Linked DNA regions of Sus scrofa. The protein of the gene in region 2 purifies or fractionates together with the protein of the main gene of each other region. This does not show direct contact. Links are inferred from orthologs where the notes say so. Each region holds a gene or a part of one and is shown on either strand. Other genes may lie near its edges.

Region 1 (5,418 bases), on a different chromosome or scaffold from region 2:
CATATGGAAGTTCCTGGACCAGGGATCGAACCCGTACTTCCAAGGAACTGCAGTTGGATTCTCAACCCACCGCACCATGGTGGGAACTCCAAGCCACTGAAATTTTGAGGTTTACCTGTTATTGCTAAGATTATTTACCTTAATATTCTAACTTCCAAATCACCAAGGAAATAGTAAAAGATTTTTTCCAGGAAAACAAACACTAGCTATAAACTCTAAATAGTTAAAGGTCCCTACTTAATAGGTTCTTTTGGAGTTCCTGTCATGGCACAGTGGAAACGAATCTGACTAGTACCCATGAGGATCCGGGTTCAATCCCTGGCCTCGCTCAGTGGGTCAGGGATCTGCCATTGCCTTGAGCTGTGGTGTAGATCTGAGACAGAGCTTGGATCCCACGTTGCTATGGCTGTGGCATAGGCTGTAGCTCTGATCTGACCCTAGCCTGGGAACCTCCATACCCCGCAGGTTCGCCCCCCTGCCCCCCAAATGGATCTTTTGAAGCACCACAGCTATACATGAGCTACTTAATAACACTGGGAAAGAACGGCGGAAGTACGAAAAAGTAAACAAGGGAAGGAGAATAAAAGTAAGGAAGTAAGTTCTGTCAAAAGTCAAGACTCATTCTGGGACCTGGAAAAAAAAAAAGACAAAAACTCAGGAAGGCCCTCCTTCCTCGTAACACAGATTCAGCTATACAGAAGGGGGCACAGAACTTCATCTTATTTTTCTGAGTGGTCCTTCCACTTCTACTTAGGAAGTACTGCAAGAGAGTTCAGATTGATTTCTTTACAATGAATTTTTTTTACAATTCCATTTCAATAGGCCTAAAACTTTATTCATTTTTACATTCTCAGGATGCAGCACAGTGCCTAGCATACAGTCCTCCCTCTGCAGTTGTTAACTGAATTAAAATGACTGATGGTGCTGCTGCTTTGGCCAGAAGAGTGGTTTCAAGTCCCAGCCACTCACTAGTTGTGTGACCTTGGACAAGTCTCCTAACTACGCCGAGATCAATTTCTTCATCAGTGAAACGAGATTACTACTACTTGCCTTGTTTACCTCACTGATTCCTCAAGAGGCTTTACATAACGAGAGCAGCACTGTAAAACAGTGCAGATGCCTCGTTTGGGTAGGTACGAATTGTGAGACGGAAAGGACCTTGGACTCAGGAGTCAGAAGACCCCGGCAGGCTAACTCGCTGTATTCCCATCTTAAACGTGAAGAGGTTTACACTCGACGACCGCCCAGGCTCTAGATTCTTAATAGCTTAAGTCCGCTACAGGTTGGGAACCTCAGGTGTTCTCAAACAGGTGAACCTCGCATCTCGTAGATGCAACCTAGGACAGGGTGTCAAGGTCGCGGGGTCCTAAGGCGGGGGGTCGCTCACCCAGTCAAAGTCACACGGGTTGCCGTCTTCGCGTTGCGTGGGGAGATTGTAGCAGACAGGGGGCAGCTTCCTCACGAGTAGGAAGGCAGCAGAGAGGAGGGCTGACAGAAGGTAGTAAGGTCGGGCCAGCCATCGTGATAGTCGAGGTATCGAATAAATAAGAGCAATTAAAGGCGCGAGAACCGCCATCTTCCCGGCTCTAGCGGCGCCAGCCGCTCCACGGAGTCCGTGAGCCTGGTCCCGCCTCTCCCATCATTGTGCTTCCATTGGGCCTAGTCTCGGATGCACCGCCTCTAGATCCGGAAGCAGATCTCTGACTGGCTTCTGCGTCAGGTTAAAAATGGAGAAAGGGCTTTGATATTTTATTGGCTAATCTAGCTGTCTTTTTTTCCACCTAAATCGTTTTATTGGACATATGCGACTGCGGCAAGTAGGAGATACAGGAGAATTTAAATAAAGTTAAATAGTACTTCCGGAACGTTCTCAGAAGGCGACGGAAGTAGTTGCAGGAAGAAGGTAGGAAGGGCCCGAGGCAACCCAATGGTGAGAGGCTCCTGAAAGAGGAGGGCGGTACTCTGTGAAAAGATTGACCAATGAACGTCACCAACGCCAGACACCGAGACAGCGCCGGGGCGGAGGAGGCGATGGAGAATTTCACGGCGCTGTTCGGAGCTCAGGCTGACCCACCACCGCCCCCGACCGCACTTGGCTTCGGACCTGGAAAACCTCCACCCCCACCGCCTCCTCCTCCGGGCGGGGGGCCGGGCCCCGCCCCGCCCTCTACCGCGGCCACAGCCGCTCCCGGCTCCGACAAGTCAGCGGCCGGTTGTGGCCCCTTCTACCTAATGCGGGAACTGCCGGGTGAGTACAAGGCCTGGTCAAAGCCAGCCAATCAGATCATAGCGAGGAGAGGCGGGGCGTGGCTCTCAGCCTTCCGACTGGGGTGAGGGGTAACCTAGGCAACGCGTGGCGCGATTTCGGAACACTATACTAGAAGAGGTTCTGAGGATTCACAACCGAAAGAATGATTGGAATTGGGATGGATTAGGGGTGGGAAGAGAGTGGATCTCCCTGACCACCTTTCACGCCCGATCCTGCCCCTGACGCTGGTTTTTGACTCCCTAAAGATTATCCTAGCTTTGAGTTTGGTATTTGAGGGTCCTGATTTAACATCCCTGCGGACCCAGTTCCAGATCTGCTTCAAACTTCCTGTTGGTTTGGGACATGTTGTCTTTCTTCCTCTGGGCCTCGGGGTTTCAAAATGTGTTCGAAGAAGTGATTAGAATTAAACCAGGTTCTTTCATTCAAAAAATTATTTTGTTGCGCACCCACTCTGTGTACCAAGCACTCTTCCAATTGCTGAAGATACAGCTGTGAACAAAACTGACAAGATCCTTGCCTGTTTGGGAGTTTACCTGCCAGTGGAGGAGTCAAAGAGTGATAAACAGATATCTGCGGATAAACAGATAGTATCAGATAGTGGTTATGGCTACAAGGGGGAAATGTGATAAAGAATTGAGGGGGCAGAACTGCTTTAGCTAGAGTGATCAGGAGAGCCCTTTCTGAGTAGATAACATTAGAGCTAAAATATAAGCACAAAGGAAGAGCTAGCCATTTATGAGTGGGAGGAGAGAGAACTCTAGATACAAAAAATGAGATTAGAAGGCCCAATGTGAGAATAACCTTGAATATTTGAGGGACAGAAAACCACTTGCACTCCGGGGAAGTGAACAGGGAAAGAGCGATAGGAGATGAAGGTGGGAGAGTAGGCAGAGGCCTCTATAAGACATTTTAAGTTCAGGGGGAACCATTTTGACACAAGAGTCTGAAGTGATCTAACTTCTAACTTATTTGCTTATTTTCAATCATTCGAGCAGCTCTATTAAGGAAGCAAAGTGGGGGAGTTCCCGTCATAGCACAGCAGAAATGAATCCGACTAGGAAGCATGAGGTTGTGGGTTTGATCCCTAGCCTCACTCAGTGGGTTAAGGATCCAGTGTTGTCCTGTGCTGTGGTGTAGGTTGCAGACGCAGCACAGCTCTAGCATTGCTGTGGCTCTGGTGTAGGCCGGCACCTGTAGCTCTGATTTGACCCTTAGCCTGGGAACCTCCATATGCCTTGGGTGCTGCCCTTAAAAAAAAAGAAGAAAAGTGGGAAAATTGGTCAGAAGTTACAGCTTAGTAGTTCAGGAAAGAGATGATAGTTTGAACTAGGAAATAGCAGTAGAGGAGAGAAGTAAATGGATGCCAAATAAATGTTAGAGGTAGAACTGACAGGAATGCAGGATTGAAAATAGAATTGAAGGACAGAGGAATTGAGGGCAGTTTGGAAATGTTTGGCTTGAATAATTAGGTGGATGGTAGTGCTAAGATCAGGAAAGGACAGGTTTGAGGAGATGGATATCAAGTCATTTTGGACATGTTAAGTCTCCAGGATGACATTTAGTTCATCCCAAGTCCTACTGCTACATCAAGAGCTGAAGGAGGGGAGTTCCTGTCACGGCTCAGAGGAAACGAATCTGACTGGTATCCATGAGGACACAGGTTCGATCCCTGGCCTTGCTCAATGGGTTAAGGATCCGGCGTTGCTGTGGCTGTGATTGTAGGCCAGTGGCTACAGCTCCCATTCAACCCCTAGCCTAGGAACTTACATATGCCACAAATGCAGCCCTAAGAGAGTAAAGATTTAAAAAAAAAAAAAAAAAGAGCTGAAGAAGGAGTTCCTACTGTGGCCTAGCCAGTTAAGGATCTGGCATTGCCACAGCTGTAGCAATAGGTTGCAGCTTCGGCTTGGATTCGATTCCTGGCCTTAGAACTTCCTTGTACCATGGGTATGGCCCAAAAATATCTGAGGGAAATGATTTGTTACAGACCTTGAAATTCACAGTGCAGTTAGATATGTTTTAGTGTTTAATACTTACAATAGCCCCTTGAAATAGGCATTGTTATCTGCTTTTTAAAGCTGAAAAACTAAAGCATAGAGAGGTTGACTTGACTTTAGTTAGTGATTGATGTCTACCAGCAGTTTATTTAACCTTAACTTATTTTGATTGTACCTATTTACATTAATCACTTGAATATCTGTTCTGGGCAAATCCTGGGTATAAAGGAGACATATGATGAGAAGAGGAGAGAGATGAGTAAGCCTGGTCCTTGTATTTTTTTTTTTTTTTTTTTTTGTCTTTTTTTGCTATTTCTTGGGCGGCTCCCACAGCATATGGAGGTTCCCAGGCCAGGAGTCCAATCGGAGCTGTAGCCAGAGCCACAGCAACGCAGGATCCGAGCCGCATCTGCAACCTACACCACAGCTCACGGCAATGCCAGATCGTTAACCCACTGAGCAAGGGCAGGGACCGAACCCGCAACCTCATGGTTCCTAGTCGGATTCGTTAACCACTGCGCCACTACGGGAACTCCTGGTCCTTGTTTTTGAGCAAATAATTTTACCTAAGACTTCAAAGTGTATGGTTTAAGAATAAAGTAGTGATTATTCTTTCTTTCTTTCTTTCTTTCTTTTTTTTTTTGTCTTTTGTCCTTTTAGGGCTGCATCGGAGGCATGTGGAGGTTCCCAGGCTAGGGCTCTAATCAGACCTGTTGCTGCTGGCCTAGGCCAGAGCCACAGCAATGCCATATCTGAGCCACATCTTCGACCTACACTACAGCTCATGGCAGTGCCGGATCCTTAACCCACTGAGCAAGGCCAAGGATCAAACCCTCAACCTCGTGGTTCCTAGTCAGATTTGTTTCCGCTGCACCATGACGGGAACTCTGTGATTATTACTTCTTGTCAGAGCCAATGTCATTATTTTCTGGTCATGCCTCACAAACTACTAAGAACCACATGACTACATGATGGTTTTCAAAATGTGTTCCGTCTTATTCAAAATGACAGCAAGAATAAGCTGTCACTTTAGCTGGACTTTGAAGACTTCAGATTGTTTAAGAAAATTAAGAATTTTCCTAGAATTAGGTCAATCTTCCTAAAAGAAATTTTCTAAAAGGAAACAATATGAGGGGTGTTTTGTTTTGTTTA
Region 2 (5,354 bases):
AAGGTAGAAAACATTCCATGACCAGAATAAGTGAAATGACCAAATGGATTAAGATATATCCATTTATTGAAATGTTATATAGCTATTAAAATGTCCCTAGTAATATTTAAAGACATAAAGAAACATGTTTTACATAACATTAAGCAAAAAGAACAGAACAAAACACTGTAATAAACAACATGATTTCAAAGAAAAAGTACACAGAAAAAAAACCTAGAATATTCAAGAATGTTTATGTAAAAAATTCCTTCTGGGTATAGAATTATAGGTGACTTTTTTCCTTTCCTTTCACATTACTCCTATGCTTTTCAAATTTCTTACAAAGGGCACATATTGTTTTAATAAGATTTTAAAGAAGAGAAAAAATAGTTGGGCAGAAAAACCAAAGAACTACTAGAGATTGGATTGCAGAGTGGCAAAACATACACACACACACACAGAAGCCTAGCAGTTTAATCACTTGTGCTGCATTTAGTTCTTAGAGAAGTAATCTTTCTTTGCATTTTCACACAGCAAGATTACCAGCTTCTCATTTGGACCACCAGGCCCTGAGGTCCTCACAGAGGGCATTTATATTCCACACTGAAAACTGTTCCCAGAACAGCTTCTTTCCAGGTCCTGCTTAGGTCTAAGGTGCTTGGGGAGAGAGACCCAAGAAGCCTGAGCCTGGCCCAAATTTTCAGAGCATAGTCCAGATTCTCACAAAAGGGAAGGGGGAGAAGATTCTCACAAGACCATGGAACTTACAGGCGTGTTGCTGCCTCAGTAGAAGTTTCATCTCCCTCAATCCTGTACACTTTCCCATACATTACATACTCAAATTGGTCAGCCCTGTGGAACAATAGTGGCAGTTATTGTTATACACAGTCAACAATAATAAGAGACCCTTTAAAAATGGTAACTGATAACTAAGTGCCAACATCATAACAACAGGCACTTTCCAAACATCACATCATTTAGTCCCGACAGCAACCCTGTGAGCGAGGTATAACTGTAGGTATTTCACTGATGAAGAAACTAAGGTTGAAGGAAGTCAAATGTTATTCAACAAATAAGTGATAGAGATGAGATGTGAACTGAGTGGGGCTCTAAAGCCTTTCCTCACACAAAATTCCCTCCTGAGACACAAGACTTACACAGCCTACGTCATTCAGTGGTCATTTCCTCAGCCATCAAAAAGCTACAACTCGAGGTTTCCTGGTGGCCTAATGATTAAGGATCTGGAAATGTCACTGCTGTGGCAGAGGTTCGATCCCTGGCCCCAGGACCTTCTGCATGCTGTGGGCATGCCCCCCTTCCCCCAAAAAGCTGCAACTCATGCTGTAATCACTGCTCTGGATAAACACCTGGATGTCTGAACTCTCCCTTTTATTTATTTTTTTGGGGGGGCCACACCCACAGCACAAGGAAGTTCCCAGGCCAGGGATCAAACCCAGGCCACAGCAGCAACCCGAGCCACAGCAGATCCTTAACCTGCTGAGCTCCCAGAGAACTCATTGTTTGTATCCTTCGTTGTTGTCTTTTTTTTTTTTTAAGGGCCGCACTCAAGGCATATAGAAGTTCCAAGGCTAGGGGTAGAATCGGAGTTGCAGCTACACGTCTACACCACAGCCACAGCAACACCAGATCTAAGCTATGTCTGCAACCTACACCACAGCTCACAGCAACGCCGGATCCTTAACCCACTGAGCAGGGCCAGGGATGGAAGCTGCATCCTCATGGATGCTAGTTAGGTTCATTACCACTGAGGCACAACAGGAACTCCTGTTTGAATTAAGTGCGGCAATTTCCTTAAGTTTACATAGATTCTGTTCATAAACATTTATTCTATGAAGTAACTAAGGGTCTTTCTGTACTACTTATCTATTTAGTCCTCAGGCATATTTCAAGTACTTCCTCACCTGGAAGGCCTATCATCTGTGGGGTTGTATTCACCATCATCCAGAGTACCATCTTCATACAAAGTACTGGCTATCACCAACCGGAACTTGTCACCTGAAAATAACAGCAATATCAGAGTCTGAAATGCAAAAACACTTGCTGTTATTGTTTGTGTTCAACACTTACCCAGGTCAACAGGATAAATCTGAATGTTTACATCTAAGATGAGGTCCATCTTGAAAGATTCACTCTCACAATGCAGTCGAGACACTGGAGGGAAACAGAAAAAGAGCAGCAGAGGTAACTGCCTGGCCAAGTAGACCCTCAAGGGCAGGGCAGACCCCACTTTGAGAAACTGTATGCACAGAATACTTAATCTGTATCCAATGGCCTCTCATCTGCTCTCATAGAAGTACAGGCTCAATAAGAACCACATATACAAGCAAAGAGGCAGAAAACTATGGCTGGTGGACAGAATGCCCAGAAAAGAATCAAAGGTCCTCTGGCAACAAATAATATCACGTTCTAGGCCTGCATGGGTGACTAAGAAACAACCTGCTCTGGGGCAAGTCAGTCATCCAAAGGTTTTGCCTTTCCGTGCCAGGCGCTGTGCTAAGGAGATTATTAAGAACTGCTGTTTGGGGAGGTCTTGTCCGTGGCTCAGTGGTAACAAACCTGATTAGTATCCATGAGGATGGGGGTTCAATCCCTGGCCTCACTCTGTGGGTTAAGGATCAGCTCAGGGGATTAAGGATCTGGTGTTGCTGTGAGCTGTGGTATAAGTCTCAGACGGGGCTTGGATCTGGCGTTGCTGTGGCTGTGGTGTGGGGCCTGCAGCTGTAGCTCTGACTCGACCCTTAGCCTGAGAACCTCCATATGTCCTTACGTCTGGCCCTAAAAAGACAAAATCAAACAAACAAACAAACACCTGCTGTTTGTTCTGAAGAATATCTCAGTCTCTAAGCAAAGGAAGAGACACCAAGGACAAATAATTCTTGATCAACGTCAGAACAAGGAGGTGTATACCAAGCAGTCAACTCTTAGAGAGGATTTCACAAAGAGCTAAGACTCTGAGGGCAACAGGCCCTGAGGTCGGATTATTTGCTGTACAGCCTTGGGTGGGTTGCTCAGCCTCTCAGAAGATGGGTAAGACACCACCTACCTCGTGGAGACTCTCGAAAGGAATAAGTAAGGCAATGTGTGTAAAGTGCACAGCACAGCGCCTAGCAGAGTGGGCAGCGATTAAAAAGATGCCAAGGAGGTTACCAGCACCATGAAGAAAGGTCACCCAGGCACCGGGCACAGCATGTGTGAAGCGAGGGAGAGCTCGAAGTCTCCGTTTTCTCATCTATAAAACGTTTCCTGAGAGAGGCCCCTAGGTCAGGACCTGCCGGTAGGGGAAGACCACATGAAATGTGTGGACAAGAGGCCCAGGGGCGTGTCCCTGAGATCAGCCGCTTCTCCCAAACCGCCCCTACAAACCTTACTCACCTCGGTCAAACTTCTTGCCCTCTGGGTCAATGTCTTTCACATCAAAAATATCCTCGAACAGAATGCCCGCCATGGTGAGGGGGCCACGAGAGAAGCAGAGGTGCTGAGCGCGTGACGAAGACTACGGAGCAGGGCACGGCCCCGCGTGGAGAAAAATGAGAGAGGAAAATGCAGCGCCTGAAGAGCGGCAGCAAAGAAATAGAAGGACGCATGCGCACAGACCAGCAGTAACGCAGCTACTTCCGCCGCCTAGCTCTCGGGGCTTCTTAACTTCCGCCCCGAACGATTGCTTCCGAGAGGCTTCAGTGTTTAGGGCGGTCTCACGTCCAGATAACTCCTCCCAGGGCGGGAACACGATAGGTCCCACCTCCAGCCGGGGGTGGCTTGGTGTCCCGCTCTCTCCGGAGGCTCTAGTGCGCCCTCTTCAGATGCCGGGTTAGGAAGACTGGAGTGCTTGGGGGCCTACCCCAGCCAGGGACCTTGATCCTTGGCCCAGAGAATCCTGGCCCTAGCCCTACCCTGTCGGTCCGCGGGTCTGCCGAGGGCACAGTCCGCGCAAAGGGCTAGCGGAGCAGAACCACGCCCCCAGGGCGATGGCCAAGTAGGGTGCCGTACCCAGTCCTTCTAGCTGGCACTGAGGAATCCCGGGCTGGCCCAGGCCGGCTGGGCCCAGCTGGATGTCACCCGACCCGGTGATATCCACTTTGGGAATTTGCCATGATGTCACCATGGGGAAGAGGGAAGTCTGCACTGTCTCCTCCTCTGGTACTGCACCCTCCCCACCCCTGATTTCTTACCTCGCACCGCCCCTTCAGCATGGTATTAACCCCATCACACTGCTCTCCTCAGTACTGCCCCTTCGGCTCGGTTCTGGCCTTTCCTCCACCACTGCGCTCACCTTCTGGACACGTTCTCCTAAGTGCTCCTTCATCCCGGCATTGTCCTCTCCTATGGATACCACCTCTTCCTTTACACTGCCCGTTCCTCTAGGGTGCTGGTTCTCACACTGTCCCCTTCCTGGGCACTCCCTCCTGGGAACCCCCTCTGCCTCCCACCTGCCCCTTCACCCTGGTACTGCCTCCTCCTGCACAATGCCTGTTTTCCTGGGCACTGGCCTGTCCCCTGACTCTATCTCTGACTGTGTTCACCCCACACTTGTTCACCCCACCCTTTGCACTTTTCTTCTCCGGAGCCTGATAGAGAACGCAGAGCCCCAGCAGGCTGTTCCCCCTTGGCAGCTAGACGTCAGCAGCTACTCGGGTTTCTTCTTCAGCCCTGCCAAGGAGAAGCGACCTCTGTCCCCCCACGCCCGCCTCCCAGGAGCGGCCTCCCCAGCACCTAGACCTCCCTTCCCTCCGGCTCCACCCACGCACAAGCCTCAGGCCAGCTAGCTCCAGGTGCACCTCCCCGGGACAGTCGCAAAGAAAGGAAGGGGGATGAGAGAAACCGAAGTTTCCAGTTCCAAGCACCCCTCTTCTGGGCCTAGCGTCCCCCTCCGAGTCTCCCCAGTTCTGTTTCTCACCCCCCACGGAGCAGAGGGGCCTTGCCAGGCCGGTCTGAGCCGTTGGCTCCTTCAGCAAAGCAAGTGAGGGCACCGCTCTCTCGAGAGAGATTGGGCCCGAAAGTCGGCTTTAGACGGTTCAGCAGCCTGCAGCCCCAGGTCCTACTGAGCGCCGACCTCGGTAGCCGCCCCCGGCCGGACGCGGGGAGCCGCAGACACTGCCCAGCCCCTCCACGTGCCAGCGGACCCGCCCCCACCCAGGCCCGGACGCCCCTCTCAGCCACCCGCCTCCGCGGAGAGGGGACGCGGGCTTGCGCGTTGCAAGCGCCCCCTGCCGCCTCTCCGGAGCCCGGGAGGCGGCCCCAACGCGGACCCCAGCCGGGCTGGGCCGGCTCCGGTGGATGGGCCGGCGGGCGGAGCAGCACGGAGGGCACCGCCCTCGGCCCGCCCGCCGAGGAGGGGACGCGAGCGGGAGGCTGCG
Region 3 (5,331 bases), on a different chromosome or scaffold from region 2:
TGCCAGATCCTTAACCCACTGAGTGAGGCCAGGGATTGAACCTGCAAACTCATGGTTCCTAGTAGGATTCTTTTCCACTGTACCATGATGGGAATTCCTAGGTCACTGATTCTGAAACAAAATTGGCACTCAGAAAAAACAAAATAAAACAAAATGAAACCCTACTGCCTAACTCCTAGCCTGACATCATGGAAGGAAGGAATGAATGAATAAATACACGTATGTATAACTTAAATTTATCATCGGTACTTTTTTTTTTTCAAAAAATACCACTAAAATATGATACTATAGCAAGTACTTTCATTGATTACTTACATACTTCTGTTTATGACAAGCTCTTTATTAAGCCTTTTCTTAATCAACACAGATTATTAAAAATATGCAGACCTGGACTAGTATCCACAAGGATGTAGGTGCAATCCCTGGCATTGCTCAGGGGATTAAGGATCTGGTGTTGCCGTGAACTGTGGTGCAGGTCGCAGGACTACCTTGGATCTGGCATTGGTGTGGCTGTGGTGTAGGCTGGCAGCTACAGCTCCAATTCGACCCCTTGCCTGAGAACTTCCAAATGCCAAGGTGCAGCCCTTCAAAAAAAAAAGAGACATAGCTACTATTTTGGTATGATCTCAGGCCCAACTCATGAATTGGACTAATATCTGCGCTGAGTGTAGATTTTGAAAGCATTTGAGAGGTTCAAATACTAAAATATTAGAAAATTGGGAAAAAATCATTTAACAAAATAAGCCCCTCTAAGGAAAGTCGGTTCATGCCTTTTCATACCCACAGGTGAGAGAAACCGCAGTATATTTAAAAATGGTTAACATTCTCCTTACCCTGATTTCTACATTCCTCGATTTCAAGTTAAAGCGTATCTGAAGTCCCAAATGCTCCACAATAGGAGTAAATATCTTCATCCAATTCTCTTTTAACGGCGTGTACCTGTTAGCAGGAACTGGAATTTTCCTAGTTTCTTCTTTCCCACTCTACAATAAAAGAAAACACAACTCAGGAGTCGTCGGATGGGCGGAGTTGTAAACTGACAGCTGATCCACAAAGAGCATCCTTCAACTGAACGAATTAAACATCAGGAGAGTCCTTCTCTAAAACCTTCACGCCATAAAAAGCTTCTACATCACCCTAAAGCCACAGGGTCCCCAGGCCTCTGCTTTGCCCCGTTCCTGTTCGTGAGTGCCCGCCAGTACCAAGAACCCGTCCCCGGAGAGGGGAGGGAAGATGGGCCTCTTCGCCGGCCGAGCCTCTTCCGTGTCCATGTGGCTCGCGCCCCCTCCTTCCTCCGTCGCAGACAGCTGCTCAGCCTGCCGTTTCTTCGCCCTTCGGCTACCCTTGCGGGTGACCTGGGTGAAGCCGTCCTCGGCTAAGGGGCTCTGAGCCTCCATCTGGGTTTCCATCCTCAGGACTCTCCAGCCCCAGCGGGAGCTTCCGGCTTGAACACGTGCGGGGCTGTACCGCGCAGATGCGTCTCGCAGGACCCCAGTCTCCACCAACCAGCCCCAGGGCTCCGCCCTCTTTCCTAAGACGTCCACGCAAGGGACCTGAAGCAAGATTTTGTGTGTGTTTATTGGGAGGGGAAAGGGCTGTCCTAAAATATGCCTGATTCTTATGGTCGCCCTCTGCCCACGCCAACTAGCAGCCAGAACATTTAGTTATCTCTAATATATACTAAAGGTTTTAAGTAAAGGCTACAAACAAGCTTGTGTTGTCGGTGAGGGAAAAAAGTCTTGTGTCTTCGGTTGCTCATCCGGCATTATCAAAGACATCTAAACCCAATTTCCAAGGGCGACAGGGGCGCTTACGGCAAACGGGAGGGACCAACTGTTCTTAACGTTTGGTTTCCGGTTTCCAGGTTAGCGTTTTGTCATGGTTTGTTGGGGGTGTGCCTGTGGCCTAGGCGGAATCCAACAGGTGGACCATGTCGGCCTTTGAGAAGCCTCAGATCATCGCCCATATACAGAAGAGCCTCAACTACACGGTATTCGACTGTAAGTGGGTGCCCTGCAGCGCCAAGTTTGTGACCATGGGCAACTTCGCGCGGGGCACCGGCGTCATTCAGCTGTACGAGATCCAGCACGGGGACCTAAAGCTGCTTCGGGAGGTGGGTACCCGGTCGAGACTGCCCAGTGCCAAGATCTGGGCCTGCTCTTGGGGGGCGAGTGTGTATCTTGGGCAGGGGTGGTGTGGGTGGTCTGCATTTTTTTTTTTTTTTTTTTTTTGCCAAATCCTATGTCCAGCGTCCCCCCAAAGCACTTTTCTAGTTGCGTGGGAGTAGCGAAGCTTGAACGCAGATTGAGGAATACTTGCGATGTACAATACTTTGGTTCTAGTTCTGAATTCTTGGCGGGCTAGTTCATTCGCGCCTTGTCGGTCCTTTCCTCCAGCCACCCCAACCACCCTCCCAGTCCAGCGAGAGGTCCTTGGGGATGACATTCCGTCTTCGTGTTTAAATTTGGGGCCCTTTGGGGCAGGGCACACTTATTTGTGCAGAGCCTGTTAATAGGTTCAAATTAGTAAAATGCTTTTTCATACAAACGGTCAAAGTGGACACCAGGATGCCTGCTATGTAATTGGAGGAAGCAACCAAACATAGCTATTCTTTCAGCAAGTATCAGTTGATTGCCTGGTATTCCCAGGCATGTAAATGACAATGTCCTGGATATCATGGAGTTTATTTTCTAGTAAGAGAGAGAATCAGTTAAATAATCAAACCAACGCTACATAAATACAAATCTAAAGAAAAAAAAAAAAAACAAAGGAAAAAAGATTTGAGTTGAGTAGAAGCTAACAAGGCCCAACTAGGAGTAGTGGAGATTTTCAGAGGAAACAGCCCAGCGATGGGAGAGAGAGTGTCTCCTTTAGAAACAAAAAGAGTAGTAAGCAGGGACGTTGCAAAATCTGTAGGTCACTTACAAAATTTATACTTTTTTTCTAAGAAAAAAATGGGACATCAATGAAGGGCTAATTTAAGTGGGTGTGGCAAGGTCAGATTTACAAGTTTTGTAAAGATTTCTAGTGAAGGAGTTGGAGAATGACAATATTAACTAGCATGTTTATACCTGTTTACAGTTTTTAAAATGCCTTGATTTGGGTTGCATGAAGGAAAAATGATATAGCGTACTCAGACGTTTAGCATTGTTAAAGACGACAGAGAAATCTGTAATTCCAGGGGTCCAAAGCTGTGGAGAGAATCAACATGGAAGAGTTAGAGGTTAAAATGGTAGGCAAAGGATGAGTACAATTTTTATAGGATAGCAGAGATGAGATTTAAGCTTTACATGTTTTAGGAACGCCAGTTTTCTTGCTATGTTTGTCTTTTCTAGCCAGGCGCTCTTCTCCTAAACATGTTCTTTTCCACTTTTCCTTGTGTGGCTCATCACTTAGTCTCCAGTCGCCTGCTATTCTAAGATCCAGTTCAGATTACCTGGTTAATGACATCCACTCCTGATCCACGCAAAAGCAACTTTTCTTTACATCGCATTCCCAACGGTACTTATTAACTGTGCCAGAAATAGATCATTCTGACCCATTTATCTCTAATTAGATTGTAAGCTCCTGGAGAGTAAGGACAGGGTCTGTCTTTAGTATGGCATGTTAAGGAGCAGCCACTCCTAAATCACTTGTTGAAAGAGTAAGTTTATTCTGTAAAAGGATATAACTTGGGACATTTAAATATTGGTTTATTGGTCCTTAATCGATTGGGCCAGAGGTTTGAACAAATAGGAGACATTGGGATTGCAGAAAGAAACTTAAAGGTGAAGTATTAGGAATAAATACCAATCAAAGCTCAACCAGACAGCATTACAGACTTGTGACTTTTTATTTTTATATAAGGCCGTATGACTTGTCTGTCTTTCAGGAAGACACTTGTTCTGTAAAGAGAAAAAGTGCTGTCTCTTCTAAAGATTCTGGAGGATTCTAGCAGGTTGTTCTTTTGTGTGTGTGTGATAATTTTACTTTTTTTTTTTTGTCTTTTCGTCTTTTTAGGGCTGCACCCTCTGCATATGGAGGTTCCCAGGCAAGGGGTCTATTGGGAGCTGTAGCCACCAGCCTACGTCACAGCCACAGCAGCACCAGATCCAAGCCGCTCTGCAACCTACACCATAGCTCACGGCAACGCCAGATCCTTAACCCACCGATGGAGGCCAGGGATTGAACCTGCAACCTCATGGTTCTAGTCACTGCGCCATGACGGGAACTCCATAATTTTACTTTTTAACAAAAGTAATATGTGTCCATGATAAACATACCAAAAATATAGTTTGGGGAAAAAAAAAGTTAATGTCACCCATAACTAGGATTAACCACTTTTTATTTCCACCTTTGTCATTGGCTCTTAGGATTAACCACTTTTTATTTCCACCTTTGTCATTGGCTCTTCTCTTTTTCTACCAGAAAATACCTACTGAGAACCTATCATTTCAAGGTATTATGCTAAAGAAGGGCCAAAACTATTTGAAAGATGAGCCCCTTCTCTTAAAGAACCTATTTTCTAAAGAGAGGATAAAAGCAAGTACACAAATTTCAGAGCTTACATTGTATTTGGCTGTGATGATGCAAGGGAAAAGAATATAGCTAAGGAGTTCCAGCTGCGGCACAGTGGGTTAAGAATCCAACTCTCGAAGCTCAGGTCATAGGTTTGATTCTGGCCCTGTGCAGAGGGTTAAAGGGTCTGCCATTGTCCCAGCTGCTGTGTACGTCCCAGCAATGGCTCAGATTCAACCCCTGGCCCAGGAACTTCCTTACACCAAAGGTGCAGCCATAAAATAAAATTTTTAAAAAGTTTAAAAAGAAGGTAGGTTAAGTACAATCTCCGTGATCCTCAACTCTTACTGTGTGTTGGGATCATCTGAATGTGTATTTTTGCTATTGTTGGGTACATAATGTGTGTGTTTTAAAATATTCATGCCTTGGGCCGCATCCCTAGAAATTGATGCACTGAGATTCTTGCCTCTAGACAAGAGTGAGGCCTGGACATCAGTATTTTTTAAACTTCCACCAGGTGATTCTAATGTGTGCTGGGGTTGACTGCCATTGGGCTAGATGAGTTATTTGTCAAAATATTAGGAAATATACTTGATTATGTCCTTGTAGAACTACATCAAGCGTTGTGCTCCAGAGCTCACGCATCCAAGATAAAAAGGAAGGAAGCAAATGGGACTTTGTTAGGACCTCCTTATCTCATTGCTAAGTGGATAGATAGGGAATGAAGGCGTGGCTTGGTATACAGGTGAGCAGTTTGTTGCACTGCACTCAGGTACCTGCCTAAGGGTTCAAGTGAGAGCTGAGAGCCATATCTATCTCTTTCACCAAGCCTTG

The links. The genes of interacting proteins can lie anywhere in the genome.
Region 1: the proteins of POLR2H (region 2) and MED19 purify together in Homo sapiens (affinity purification with mass spectrometry; 3 studies listed by BioGRID and IntAct, with this or other methods). This does not show direct contact. The link is inferred for Sus scrofa from reciprocal best matches to the Homo sapiens genes POLR2H and MED19.
Region 3: the proteins of POLR2H (region 2) and WDR92 purify together in Homo sapiens (affinity purification with mass spectrometry; 3 studies listed by BioGRID and IntAct, with this or other methods). This does not show direct contact. The link is inferred for Sus scrofa from reciprocal best matches to the Homo sapiens genes POLR2H and DNAAF10.

Annotation. Positions count from the first base shown.
Region 1 is NC_010444.4:13,239,460-13,244,877, forward strand, and holds the start of MED19 (mediator of RNA polymerase II transcription subunit 19), read left to right. Parts: upstream 1-1,851; 5' UTR 1,852-1,980; coding exon 1,981-2,248; intron 2,249-5,418. Other genes in the region: TMX2 (thioredoxin-related transmembrane protein 2), read right to left, coding at 1,388-1,576. UniProt on the Homo sapiens protein: Component of the Mediator complex, a coactivator involved in the regulated transcription of nearly all RNA polymerase II-dependent genes.
Region 2 is NC_010455.5:122,249,846-122,255,199, reverse strand, and holds the start of POLR2H (DNA-directed RNA polymerases I, II, and III subunit RPABC3), read right to left. Parts: upstream 3,572-5,354; 5' UTR 3,446-3,571; coding exon 3,373-3,445; intron 3,269-3,372; exon of another isoform or gene 3,230-3,268; coding exon of another isoform or gene 3,148-3,229; intron 2,152-3,147; coding exon 2,068-2,151; intron 1,996-2,067; coding exon 1,902-1,995; intron 832-1,901; coding exon 748-831; intron 1-747. UniProt on the Homo sapiens protein: DNA-dependent RNA polymerase catalyzes the transcription of DNA into RNA using the four ribonucleoside triphosphates as substrates.
Region 3 is NC_010445.4:74,083,369-74,088,699, forward strand, and holds the start of WDR92 (WD repeat-containing protein 92), read left to right. Parts: upstream 1-1,764; 5' UTR 1,765-1,930; coding exon 1,931-2,113; intron 2,114-5,331. Other genes in the region: RNA-binding protein PNO1, read right to left, coding at 834-983, 1,203-1,409. UniProt on the Homo sapiens protein: Key assembly factor specifically required for the stability of axonemal dynein heavy chains in cytoplasm.